3 linked regions of the Tribolium castaneum genome follow. The protein of the gene in region 2 purifies or fractionates together with the protein of the main gene of each other region. This does not show direct contact. Links are inferred from orthologs where the notes say so. Each region holds a gene or a part of one and is shown on either strand. Other genes may lie near its edges.

What was found.
Region 1: the proteins of Taf4 (region 2) and Taf5 purify together in Drosophila melanogaster (affinity purification with western blotting; 3 studies listed by BioGRID). This does not show direct contact. The link is inferred for Tribolium castaneum from reciprocal best matches to the Drosophila melanogaster genes Taf4 and Taf5.
Region 3: the proteins of Taf4 (region 2) and Tbp purify together in Drosophila melanogaster (affinity purification with western blotting; 7 studies listed by BioGRID). This does not show direct contact. The link is inferred for Tribolium castaneum from reciprocal best matches to the Drosophila melanogaster genes Taf4 and Tbp.

The regions. Positions count from the first base shown.
Region 1 is NC_087398.1:2,407,282-2,411,405, reverse strand, and holds Taf5 (cannonball), read right to left. Parts: upstream 2,801-4,124; 5' UTR 2,737-2,800; coding exon 2,680-2,736; intron 2,637-2,679; coding exon 2,051-2,636; intron 2,005-2,050; coding exon 1,677-2,004; intron 1,626-1,676; coding exon 1,469-1,625; intron 1,016-1,468; coding exon 695-1,015; intron 641-694; coding exon 131-640; 3' UTR 78-130; downstream 1-77. Other genes in the region: heterochromatin protein 1, read left to right, coding at 3,267-3,524, 3,598-4,124. UniProt on the Drosophila melanogaster protein: TFIID is a multimeric protein complex that plays a central role in mediating promoter responses to various activators and repressors. May play a role in helping to anchor Taf4 within the TFIID complex.
Region 2 is NC_087394.1:35,639,722-35,643,875, forward strand, and holds the start of Taf4 (transcription initiation factor TFIID subunit 4), read right to left. Parts: upstream 2,921-4,154; 5' UTR 2,270-2,920; coding exon 1,670-2,269; intron 1-1,669. Other genes in the region: wcd (U3 small nucleolar RNA-associated protein 18 homolog), read right to left, coding at 3,704-4,154. UniProt on the Drosophila melanogaster protein: TFIID is a multimeric protein complex that plays a central role in mediating promoter responses to various activators and repressors.
Region 3 is NC_087402.1:9,986,921-9,990,909, reverse strand, and holds Tbp (uncharacterized protein Tbp), read right to left. Parts: upstream 2,777-3,989; 5' UTR 2,685-2,776; coding exon 2,639-2,684; intron 2,595-2,638; coding exon 2,368-2,594; intron 2,319-2,367; coding exon 2,176-2,318; intron 2,130-2,175; coding exon 1,610-2,129; 3' UTR 1,116-1,609; intron 1,069-1,115; 3' UTR 563-1,068; downstream 1-562. Other genes in the region: Bka (rRNA-processing protein FCF1 homolog), read left to right, coding at 3,187-3,189, 3,239-3,847; Tbcc (tubulin-specific chaperone C), read right to left, coding at 3,873-3,989. UniProt on the Drosophila melanogaster protein: General transcription factor that functions at the core of the DNA-binding multiprotein factor TFIID.

The sequences.
Region 1 (4,124 bases), on a different chromosome or scaffold from region 2:
CTGTTTATTTTCAACTCGGAATTCTATTTTAACATTTTAGTGTTATTTCAAGCGATTCATAAACCAAACCCCAAAAAAATCGTTAAAAAATTTATTTCTTATCAAGGTAAATAATACACATTACAATAAACTAAGTGCTAACACCATCAAACATGCTAACAGCCAATAGCAAATTCCTCCTCGTAAAGTGAAGGCTGATCAATGGCGAGCTCTTCGTCGCAAAACTCCTCAATAAATAATCATCCCCGATCCTCACATCGGGATTATGCGACACATTTACTTCCTCCGAGCTGATTTCCTCAGTCAGTTTGGTAAAATCCCAAACTTTGAGCAAACAGTCCAACCCTCCTGAAACTAGAATATTCCCGCATCTGCTGAAAGCAAGTGCATGGATGGGCTTCTCATGCCCGGTGAGTTCTGCAACCAAGTGTCCATGGGACAAGTCCCAAACCAACACTTTACAATCCACCCCCGCGGAAGCCAAAAACCGCCCACAAACACTGAACGCCAAAGACATTATGGGCGATTTATGCCCAGTCATAAGTCGGACATGATTTCCCGTCGTACAATCCCACAAACAGACGCGGCGGTCGCTGGAACCGGTCGCAACGTAATTGGAATTTGGGTGAAACTGGACGCACTACAATTAATAATTTCTGTAAAAAAATATTAAAAAAAAATTGATAATTTTTACATCGACGTCGGAGAAATGACCGGCAAATAATCGCAACGGTTGGTAATGGTCGGTGGCCCAAAGTCGCGCAGTGCGGTCGTACGACGCCGAAGCGAAGTAATAGCCCAAGGGAGAGAATTTGACGTCCCAAACGGGGAACATGTGTCCTTTGTAGACCACCAGACAAGTCCATATTTGCAACGACCATAATCTTATTGTTGTGTCTTCCGAACAACTGATAAGGAGAGTCTTGTCTGGGGAAAATGATACCGAGTAAACAGGCCCTGAATGGCCGTAAAGCGATCTGGAAGTCTCACCGGACCTTTCATCCATCATTCTCACCTGCATGTTGAAAACATGTAAGTTTTTGGAACCTGGCCAAGATGACAGATAAGTTGCTATCTTGGCAGATTTCTTTAAGTACACTGTTTAAATGAATAAAAATGATACACCTTCCAGTCATTTATTTTGCGATTTTAAACATGTTGACGGTTTCCACACGGCAACGACCTATTTTTATCGCTATTTATTCAAGTAGTCGATTAATTTAAGTCGGTGTCTACTTTATCGACTTGATGGGGGCGAAAACTAAAATCTCAACTTAACTTTGAATATATTTAATGTTGTATTAAAAAAATGAGTGATTACTTTTGTAGTAATAATAAAAGTCTTTTCTGAACAAAAAATTGTAATCGAAATTACTGATTTAGTTTTACTTATCGTTTAATTTTGATTGATTATATATTTTTTCATGTACTTTATCGATTTCATTATTAAAAAAAAATGTAACATTACCACGACATCCTCTACGTCAACATTGACATCCTCCAGCTGCTCCCCACTTTTCATAGCCTTCAGTTTTTGAGGCACAAGTGTCCAGACTTTAACAATTGAATCGCTGAAACCCACCGCCAGCATACTCGAATCTTCGGTGATTTCAGCACAATTAACCCTAAAAAACCCCCGATAAAGAAAATATTTTCACTGAATAAACTCAACTAACGTGTGATTGGCGTTAAGTAAGGTGTAACAACAAACTGAAGGGAGGTAATCCGGGCCTAACGTAACTCTCTTTGAGGCCTCTCTGTACGCCTTCACTTTTTCGTACTTATCGTGGTCTCTCATGTCCGGGACTGGAATTCTATCAGGCGGTGGAGCGTTTGGGTCATTTTTTGTTTTTTTCGAGAAAAGTGGGTCTTTTTTGGCTTTTTTCTTCTTAGGTTTGTCCGGATTGTCCTGTTCGCCGCCTTCGTCCTCGTCTTCGACTGGCGCTGCTAGTGCCTGAATGTCGGGGGCTTTGGGGATGCCGTAATAGACTTTGGTTTTATTATCTGGAATTTTGATGTGTTTATTGTAATTATGATAACGAAAATGAACCTTGTCGTTTTGCCTCTCCCCCAACGGCACCTGACGTGGCATCAATCTGGCTTTTGTTCCTCGCTACGCCTTCGTACATATCAAAGTAGAGATGTTCCTGGATGATGTTCAGCAAAACTGACGCTTTTTTGTCGTTTAAGTGACGTTTTAAAAGTGACAAAGTGTCACGCGACATTCGAATAATAAACTGGTTTGATTTGAAGGTGTCTGTCAATTCGTTCCCGTTCATATGGTCCCGTTTTGTGACCAAAGCCAACTTCCTGAGATCCTCCTGATAGTACGAGTCTTGTTCGGGGCCAAATTTTTTCATTAAGTTTATCGCTTTCTCCGTATGTCCATTATAAACCAATTCGAGGTACATGTGGACCAAAACTGGGTATAAAATCATGCCTAATTCGTGTTTGTAAATGTCAAGGGAGCCCTCAACAAAACGCTTTAACTCCATGTAAGAGTCCTCATAGGTTTCTGGATCTCCGTCACTCTTGTACCCCGTCAGAACGCTACTAACGTCTGAATTTTGTTGCAAAGGGCCATCAGCTATGTTATTACCGAGATTGGCCTCCTTTCGTAGCAGCTCCTCAGTGCCCTAATGAAAAATGTTACGTTGTGCTTACTCGCCATAAGCTCACCTTTAAATTGTATTTTTTCAAAATTTGCAGAACGGCTGCAAGTTGAGATTTTTCCATTTCTTCGGCGCTCATTTATAAACTCGTAAAATAATAAATACAACACAAACTGACGTTTCCCTAACCACACTTTAATGCAAATGACAACAATCAATAACGCAAAATTTCCCTAAAGCCTGCCATTCAACGTCGATTTATAAAAAATCTAGGCTTATTTCGCAACAATCCGATTTTCTCTTCATTCAGAGAGCGCAGTATGAGAGTTGTAACTCCTGGCTATATTTTTTAAAACTCTGAGAGTCGTTTTTGGACAATTTTTAATTGGTTGAATTGTGTTGGCACCATTTTTTTCTTAACCGCCACCCGCCATATTTCCAGCGCCATTAAAAGGATCTTTTCGGCGGTGTTTTGTGGTGGCTTTTTAAGAGCCAGAGTTGAAAGTAAGTAAATAACGGCTCCAATCGCATTATTATCCACTACCTTAACTAGTCAGCATTTTAGTAACGAAGTTGAATGCAAGCAATACTTATTGTTCCAGAAGTACGCAGTCAGCATCGCTTTACCGGTTATTCGCAAACAAAACTGCAGAAATGGGCAAAAAGAAGGTAGAAGACAGCGAGAGCGAGGAGGAATATTCAGTTGAGAAAATTATCGACCGGCGGGTCGTAAACGGAAAGGTCGAATATTTTCTCAAGTGGAAAGGTTATAGCGAAGACGATAATACTTGGGAACCCGAAGACAATCTCGATTGTCCCGATCTCATAGCGGAATTTGAAAAGTCGCGCAAAGCCAAGGCGAAGAGGTCTTCCACCACGAAAAGTGCGGACGAGGATAGTGACAAAAAAAAGGTGGGTTTATTGGATAAGCCAAGCAAAAACCAGCCCACTTCGACCCGAAATCTATTTAATTGTGTATCCCTAGAAAGAGAAAAAATCCAAGGACGGTGAAGAGAAGTCTGAAAAGAAATCAAAAGGCAGGCCCAAGAAGCATGCGGTTGAAACGGAGGACTCCGACGGCGAGCCCAAGTCGAAGAAAGCTCGCCGTCGTTCAGATTCCACGGACGAGAAAGAGAATTCAAAAAAAGACGCAGATTCCGACGACGAAAATGGTAAAAACAAGTCTGACTCATCTGACGACGAGGATAAGTCCAAGAAAAAGAAGAAATCAGAAGGCGATGACGACGAAAAATCCAAGAAAAAGCGAAAGTCTGAGTCGAAATCTGAAAAGGGGAAGGATAGTTCATCCAAGAGTAAATCAAAAGTCGGCTTTGAACGGGGCTACCAAGCCGAGAAAATCATAGGAGCATCAGACACCACAGGACAGCTGATGTTTCTGATGAAGTGGAAGGGAACCGACGAGACCGATTTAGTCCCAGCTAAGGAAGCAAACGTCAAGTGTCCACAAATTGTTATTCAGTTTTATGAGGAACGTCTCGCTTGGCATACTCC
Region 2 (4,154 bases):
CAGCAAATGTGTACACCAGTTATCAAACAAAACAATTCTTCAAATAAACTATAAAATTTACTCAACAAAACTAGAAGAGATTCGGCATTTTCGTTGTACAGCTTCGTGTACGTGTTTCGAGTGAACAATCTGTGTAAGGTGGTTGGTTGTTGTTTTGTGAAGCTGTACAATGGAAATAGCCTCAAACATGAAATTTTGCAGTAGAATGGGGGGGTTTGTGGGGTCCGAAAGCGTTAGTCCTAGCTTGGATGAAAATTAATCCCAATACTGACATGACATCCTGATTCTGCGACTTTTATTTCCAAATAAGGAACGAATTATTTTCAAAATAATTCGTTCCTTATGAATGAAATAAAACATTTTTAATAAACAAATCAGTAACCATTCACTCATTAATTCAACGTCACTTTCTTTCGCATAGATAGCAATTTGCATTAAACACGCTGCCATCGTTTTTTATAACATTTTAAAAAAAATAAGAATTAAATAAAAAAAAATTACACGAGCATGAAAATTACATAACATAACGTGTATTTAATCACAAAGTAGGGATATCAACACCTTTCCCTATATGTGTGATGCTGTTTATGTCCCTGTGGAGAGATAATTATTATGAAATTTTCTAATTTTATAATCGTTCCACTTTTCAATAATTACTCCAACTCTTATTATTGCATCTTATATTTTATTTTAGGATGTTTGATAATTACTATCCGTTTACAATTCTGGAGTTAAAAATTCACTTGCGTGTACAAAATAGTGTTTCTAAGAAAAAAAGTCTTCTAATTGTTATCAAACAAAATATTGGTACATGAGGGTCACTGGAATGAATCCTCTGTTAAAATCTAAATTGCAACAAATAATTTCAGTTTTAACAAGGTCATCATTTTGTCTCATTTTTACATTAGTTTTGTTCAAAATTTCAATTGGGAGTGCATAATTTTTGAATAATTTTGTACAAAAAAATCTATGTTTACTGTATGAAAGACGCTAAATTCGCCATTAATGGTAATGTCACTATAACTGAGAAGAAATGTGTAAAAGTTTAGCCAACATTAAATACTTTTTATTACCTATTGAAACAGCATGTCTTTATGACTACACAGGGTGAAAGTACGAAAGAATTTCTTACTTTGCTGTAGCTGTCAAATCTACATCGCTTAAAAGAGTCTTGAGTTAAGTAAGAGCAAGTTACAATTTTGCAGGAACGTATTTAATTTTTTTTTTAAATCTAAAGTCATTTTTTTAACAATTCCTTAAATTGTATTCATTGCTAAGTAAAATTTTAAAAAACAGTGTCATTAATTCGGGGCCCTTACGTTGGTTTCCTGGGGGAAACTGGGCTTTATTTTCAAGAATCCAATACTGTACTGTTTTGAGTGTGTCTTAAGTTGTCTACCTACAACACAACGAAATTATTATGGTAGATAGTTTGTAAACTTGTTGGACGTTGTTTGTTTTGATGGTCACATGATAATAAACAGTACACCAAGTACTGGCTTGAAAACATAATTTGTCCTAGAATGAAAATTTGTTTAATTTTTTGTTTTTTTTTTAATGTACGCTCAGTAGATGTCGATAAGGGGTTATAGGTGTTAGCAAGCATCTTAAGACTGGGAGTTAGCAGACCCTCCCATTCGACTGTTGTTTTGAGTGTACACCGACTTACTGGAGCTCCTGGCCGGGCCCCGACAATCTGTGGTGCACTGAGCACGACACGTGCCGGTTGTCCTTTCTGCTGCTGAGCGGGAACGCCAGGCCGTACATTGACAACCTGGAGGTTGGAAAGGATGTTTGGGGACTGTGTACTGGGACTACCTACGTTGTTAGCTGGCGGGACCGAGGTGGTCACGTTCATGGGCACGGTGACGAGTCCGGGGGCCGAGGCGCCGCACGTCTTGATGACCAGCGTGGGCTGCTTGCCGGGGGCGGCCTGGGGCAGCGTCCCATTGGGCGGCAGCGCGACCCTCGCGTTGGGCAGCAGCGTCCCGGCGCCCGCCATGGCCTGCGAGTAGACGATCTTGACGGGGGCGGCGTCGGCCGACTTGGCGTCCGAGATGGAGTCGCCGTTGGCCACTGTCGAGTGCTTGGGGGGCCCGACGGTGCCGCCGTTGGATATTGCACTGTTCACGTGGTTCTGGGCCGCGGACGCGGGCGCCGTCGTCGACGACGTCACCAGCTGGTTCTCCAACGAGCCCACGATTGCACTCACGGCCGATTCGTCCACATCCGTACTCAGTGCTTCCTCGAGAAACTTAGCTGACGCCATTTTCCGAGACCCAACTGTAAACTGATGTGCGCATGCGCCCTACATAAACATGATCACGCCAACGGCTGCGCCGTCGACTCTTCACGCCACAAATGCAGAAAGGCATATGAAACAAAAGTCCGAATCGACGCACTTTTAACCACTTTACATGGCCCTCATCTTCGGCTGCTCCGAGTTGTTGCACGGTTTCGTCGGGGGCGGATTTCACGGCGACATCAGACACAGCTTTTCAGTTTCGTTTACATCGCGGAGTCGATCGCACTCTCGACGTTTTGCTAAGTCATCTGACACGTCATCCCGACCCGCCAAATTTGAATTTTCGCATTGCATTTCACATTTCCAAATCCACAAATTTACATTTCTTTAGAAAGTTTCTGCGCCAATTTACATTTAACAAGATGACATTTTGCGACGACCGCTGATAGCCCCGATTCCTTCCACGCAGCTCGCAGCTTACGTATTACGTCATGGGGACAACACTCATTTCTCATCTTAAATTCTCATTTTACCTCGAATTCTGGCACGAGGCACAACGCAACTTTCTTTACTTCATAGCTCATTTGCTGTTTTTTGTTGCTTGAGCAATATTTCTTAAGAGATTGTTTATTGCTAAATCTCATGACCTACAACAACCTTGCAACACCATACTGCTGTTTTATCATCACAAAACAAAACACTCTGGTCAGATTCCCGCTGTTTTTTTCAAATTTTGAACAAAATTACCAATAAAAAACTTATATTAATAATATAAGTATATTTTCTTATACGATAGGTATGGCCTATTTAATATTAAGAACAGATTTATTGATAAAAAATAGGTATTCGATTTATAAACACGTTCTACTCCTACTATAATTTCCATTTTGTTTGGTACTTTTTTTTTATCATCTCCCTTATCCTCCTTTTGCATCAAATCTTTTTAATTATAGGTGGTATTTAGAACTGTAACGCAAATTTTTAATAAAAATCTAGCACTTCTAGATAACAGCAGGTAATAGTACCCCTATCAATTTGATTTCAGGAGGCTTGTGTGGTTGATAATGTGTAGGCAAGGGGTTATTTAATCGATTCCGGTGTAAACTATAATGGCCTGCAATCAATAAATTAAACGTAGGTACAATTGAGTACAAAGCGGTTCATTCGGCAACTGTTGGAAGAAAAAAAAATTCACATATTACAAATAAAACAATAAAATTCTTAGGACTTAAACGATTTTATTTACAGGTACTAAAACATGACATCGGTAGTAAAAAATAAAAAAGCATACAGAACGTAAAAATTGATCAAAATTAACCACTTGAGGAGAGATGCCACTCTTCGGTATTAAAACTGACACATTATTTTAGCAATAGCCCTGTTATAATTTATAAAGCTTGCATAAATGTTACAACAGGTGGAACAGGTCATTTACCGTATCTAACATGTGTTGTTTGATTAATAACTTTTGTAGTGCTTCAAGGTATACAAAGAAACGGTCGATTTCCTATTCCCAAAGGCAACATATCCACTATTTGGCGAGAAATTGATCGCATTTACGTGTCCCAACTTGGTCTCGAACGTCGGGAAGTTGCTAAAAACAGTCCCAGACCCGACATGGAGCAATTTGACGGAATTCGGTATTTCGGCAGACGACAATGCCAAAATCTCCGATGTAGCGTTGAATTTCAAGTCGGTCACGCTCGTAGTCAAATTCATAATGGTCTTTATAGGTTTAGGTACTTTATTAATTAAAATATCCCCCACGTCGTACAAATTAACAACTCCTTGTGCAGAACCAGCCGCCAGAAATTGATTAGTGGGCGAAACCGCCAAAGTGGTGCCTTGCAGACAGCCCTCGTCCATAAACTTGTGCAAGACCCGTCTCATGCTCACGTCCCACACAGTG
Region 3 (3,989 bases), on a different chromosome or scaffold from region 2:
GTGAACAACTCGATCGCTTTACCGAATCTTTGCACCCACTCGATGAGTTAACACCTCATGTGGAAGAAGGTACGTGCAATCTTTTTAAATCTATTTTTGTACTCTGTTATGTCTTTTTAGAAGGGTATTTGTTTAATATATGTGCAAACGTTAAATCTTTGATTGATTGTAAAGTAGAAAGGGCCTTTGAAATCGTGGATAACAATGCTCAACTTTTGGAAAAAGAAAAGTCTGAAATCGTAAGTATAAAAAATAATTTTACTTGTACGATAACTTTGTAAAAAAAATAGAATAAACTGGAAGAGGAACTTTCAAATTTAACTACCGAATTTGGTGCAAAGAAAAATAAACTCCGGGAAACAACAAAACGGTGCGAAACTTATAATCATAAGCTGCAAAATCTTAAGAGCCTAAAGTATGAAATTTAAATGACTCTTACGTTGGTCTCTAATGAATTTATTTCAGGCTCTCCTTATATTTGTATAAGTTATTAACTGCAACACAATTTGATTATACAAGACCTAACACAGGCTGTATCCTTTCTAAAAAAAAAACCAAGCCGTTCATTTTAACAACTTTATTCCTTATAAACTAACAGATATGGTACGGACGAACCCTCCAAACTATGAAGTCTTCAATTATGGTGAAATAGGCGAGGAACAAGTAGTACGAAAATTATGGGCATTAATGGAAAAAATGGCACATAAAAACGAATAAAAACTTAAATTTATTGCTTTTTCTTTATGGTAACCGTTTTAAATATTGTATATGAATGGAAAACACTCGCGCTTGTTGCAATTGTAAAACCAACAACGAATAAGGCTACAATTACCATAGCTAGTAGCATTCCTTGGATAAATATGTTGTAAGTTATGTAAAAAATTCCCTGTGACGCCAAAATTCCCGTGTAAGTGAGCAATAGCGCAACGGGCATTAGGGTGGCTGCTGTGACCACGGGGAGCAGGATAACGGCCAAAATCACCACCAAAGACATGGACAAAATCGGTCTTTGCACTGACCATTTTAGGAACATACTTCTAACATTCTTCACCAAATTTCGCACTTTATCTGATAAAATTACGATTAGTAACGCAATTATTGGCGTGTGGCCTCACCTGGTAAAATGGGCATTGTTGTTATTTTACGCCGAACTGTAGAGATTAAAATAATTACTTGAACATGTTGGAATTTGACATCGCTTTTTATCAGTTCCAGTATTTACAAGGCGTGGAATTTGTACCGTCTTCTGATATTCTTCCACTTTTTTAGAGTTTATTGTTCTTCATTTAAGACAAAAACGAGCGAGTTTTTTCTTTTTGGCAAAAAATTTGAGGTTATGTGGCAAAAATTTGAATTTTCGTAAACCATAATCAACTTTAATTAATTATTTACTTATCAGTTTTGAACTTAAGTACTGAGCGGAATTTTCCATTCCCTTTCGATTGATTGTATTCTAGTGCAGCATAATGTATTAATAATGTAAAAAAACTAATTTTGAGGTTAGATTGGACTTGTCAAAAGGAAAAATAAAAGCAATTTTTGATTCTCGTCTATTAACAATATAAAAGGCCCACTTACAGTCAACAATTAAACGTAGCACATGAAGCAATTATTGCTTTTTGAAGCTTTTCAGGATTGGATAAATATTATCAAAGGCTTCGTAAATCTCCTGCCTGATTTTGGCGCCAGTCAAGACAACTTTACCCGAGACAAAAATAAGTAGTACAATTCTGGGCTTAACCATTCTGTAAATTAAACCGGGGAATAACTCGGGTTCATACGAACTGAAGGAACTGTGCGTGAGGACAAGTCCTTCCAATCTGATCGGAAATTTAACGTCGCAACTTCCCACCATATTTTGAATCTTGAAGTCTAAAAATTTCGCGGGGAAGCCCAGCTTTTGGATAATTCTCGCATATTTCCTCGCTGCTAGTCTGGAGTCGTCCTCGCTTTTAGCCCCCGTGCAGACCATTTTTCCCGAAGAGAAAATAAGAGCAGTAGTTCGGGGCTCCCTGATTCTCATTATAACTGCAGCGAAACGTTTGGGGTTGTACTCAGCGTTACGTGCGTGAAGGGCGATTTTTTTCAAGTCTAACTTGCAGCTGAGGTTAACTGTGGAGACAATATTTCTGCAAAAAATATTCAAACTAATTTTACTAAAGTTTGGACTGTTACTGTAATTGGGGGACAATGTTGGGGTCGGCCGAATGCGGGGTCATCGGTGTCAGGGGCGACGGCGTCGCGGGGCCCATCGACGGGGTGTTCGCTGCACCACTTGAGCCCCCCAAATTCACCATAGGGGACATCATAGTGTGTTGCTAAAATTTTAATTAAACGTTCCAATTATTCAATAATTTAGTTACGTACTGGTGTTTGTGACTGGATACTCGTGATGGGGAGGGCGAAGCCCGCATATTTCGTATGGGGCATGGACATGCCCATGCCCAACCCCAGAGTTGGTGTTAGGGCTCCCATTGGGGCCAAAGGCGGGACTTGTTGGGACTGTGATGTTGTGGAAGGTTGCTGCTGCTGTTGTTGCTGCAGAGCATTGGGCAAAATCATCTGATCTTCCTCGGGCTGGTGCAAGGGGGTTCCTAAAGCCTCACTAAGGAAGTGTGAAGGAAAAATCGAGACTTACCTATGCTAGGAATGCTGAAACCGGGGCTTGGCAACATTTGATCCATTTTGGTACTTGTTGTCTTTACACTTTTTTAATTAACGAACTAATTAACTGAACAATAAAATCATAGTCAACATTTAGCATAAACGGTTATAATTTTTAAAAACTTGAACTCAGACCATACAAACACAAAATAACATTCCTTGATTGTTCTCTTTCAGAGTTTTCGTCACGAAAATACTGTTTTTCACTGGAAAAACGGATTTGGAAGCAAATTAATAAATTATTCTCCTAGCATAATTTTTGGGGACAAATCAACCAGAATGTTGGCAACGCCCGCCTTAACCTCACTCAAATTCGCATCATAAATTTAAAAATAACACTCACGGCTCACGCTCACAATGTCGCCTTTTAAAAATTTCGAGTCAGTGGAACAGTTTTTTCACACAAACAATTATTTTGGATTTAATTTATTCACCTCTCCCTGATTGTTTATTTAGTGTTGTAATGTTGGCAACGCATATTTAACCTGACTTTTTCTACATGTGTTTATTTTAAAATAAAAGATGGTAAAAAGTTCGCTTTGGTGTTTGCACAGCGTATAGAAATGTTTTTTAGGGTAAGGCGAAGAAGACGCGAAAAATCGCCCAGAAGCGGTTTGCAAAAATGAAAACAATGATCAGTCCCAGCGACCCTCGCATAAAAGCCAGCCAGAGGGCCCCTCCTCGCAAGAAAAAACCCGAAGATCCACACGAAATGAAAGTGCGTGAGGTGCCCCAAGTTAGTTCGGCGCTCTTTTTCCAATACAACACCCAACTGGGGCCTCCATATCACATTTTGGTTGATACGAACTTTATTAATTTTTCGATCAAGAACAAGTTGGATATTATTCAGAATATGATGGACTGCTTGTATGCTAAGTGTATTCCGTATATTACGGATTGTGTTTTGGGCGAATTAGAGAAATTAGGTCAGAAGTATAAAGTGGCGTTGAGGATAATAAAGGATCCGAGGTTTGAGAGGATTAAGTGCATGCATAAAGGGACGTACGCTGATGATTGCCTAGTCCAGAGGGTCACCCAACACAAGTGTTACATTGTTGCGACGAATGATAAGGATTTGAAACGCAGAATTCGGAAAATTCCGGGTGTTCCCATCATGTATGTTGCACAACATAGGTATACAATTGAACGCATGCCTGATGCTTACGGGGCTCCAAAAACATAATAAACTACGAATTTTTATTACTACGTTATGAATTATCCCAATTTTTTACAAGTTTCCCTTCATCTAACAACGACCAATTTGGAGATTGTCTTTCAACATTCAACCAGTTGAAATCATCAACACATTTCCAATTATTTGTGTT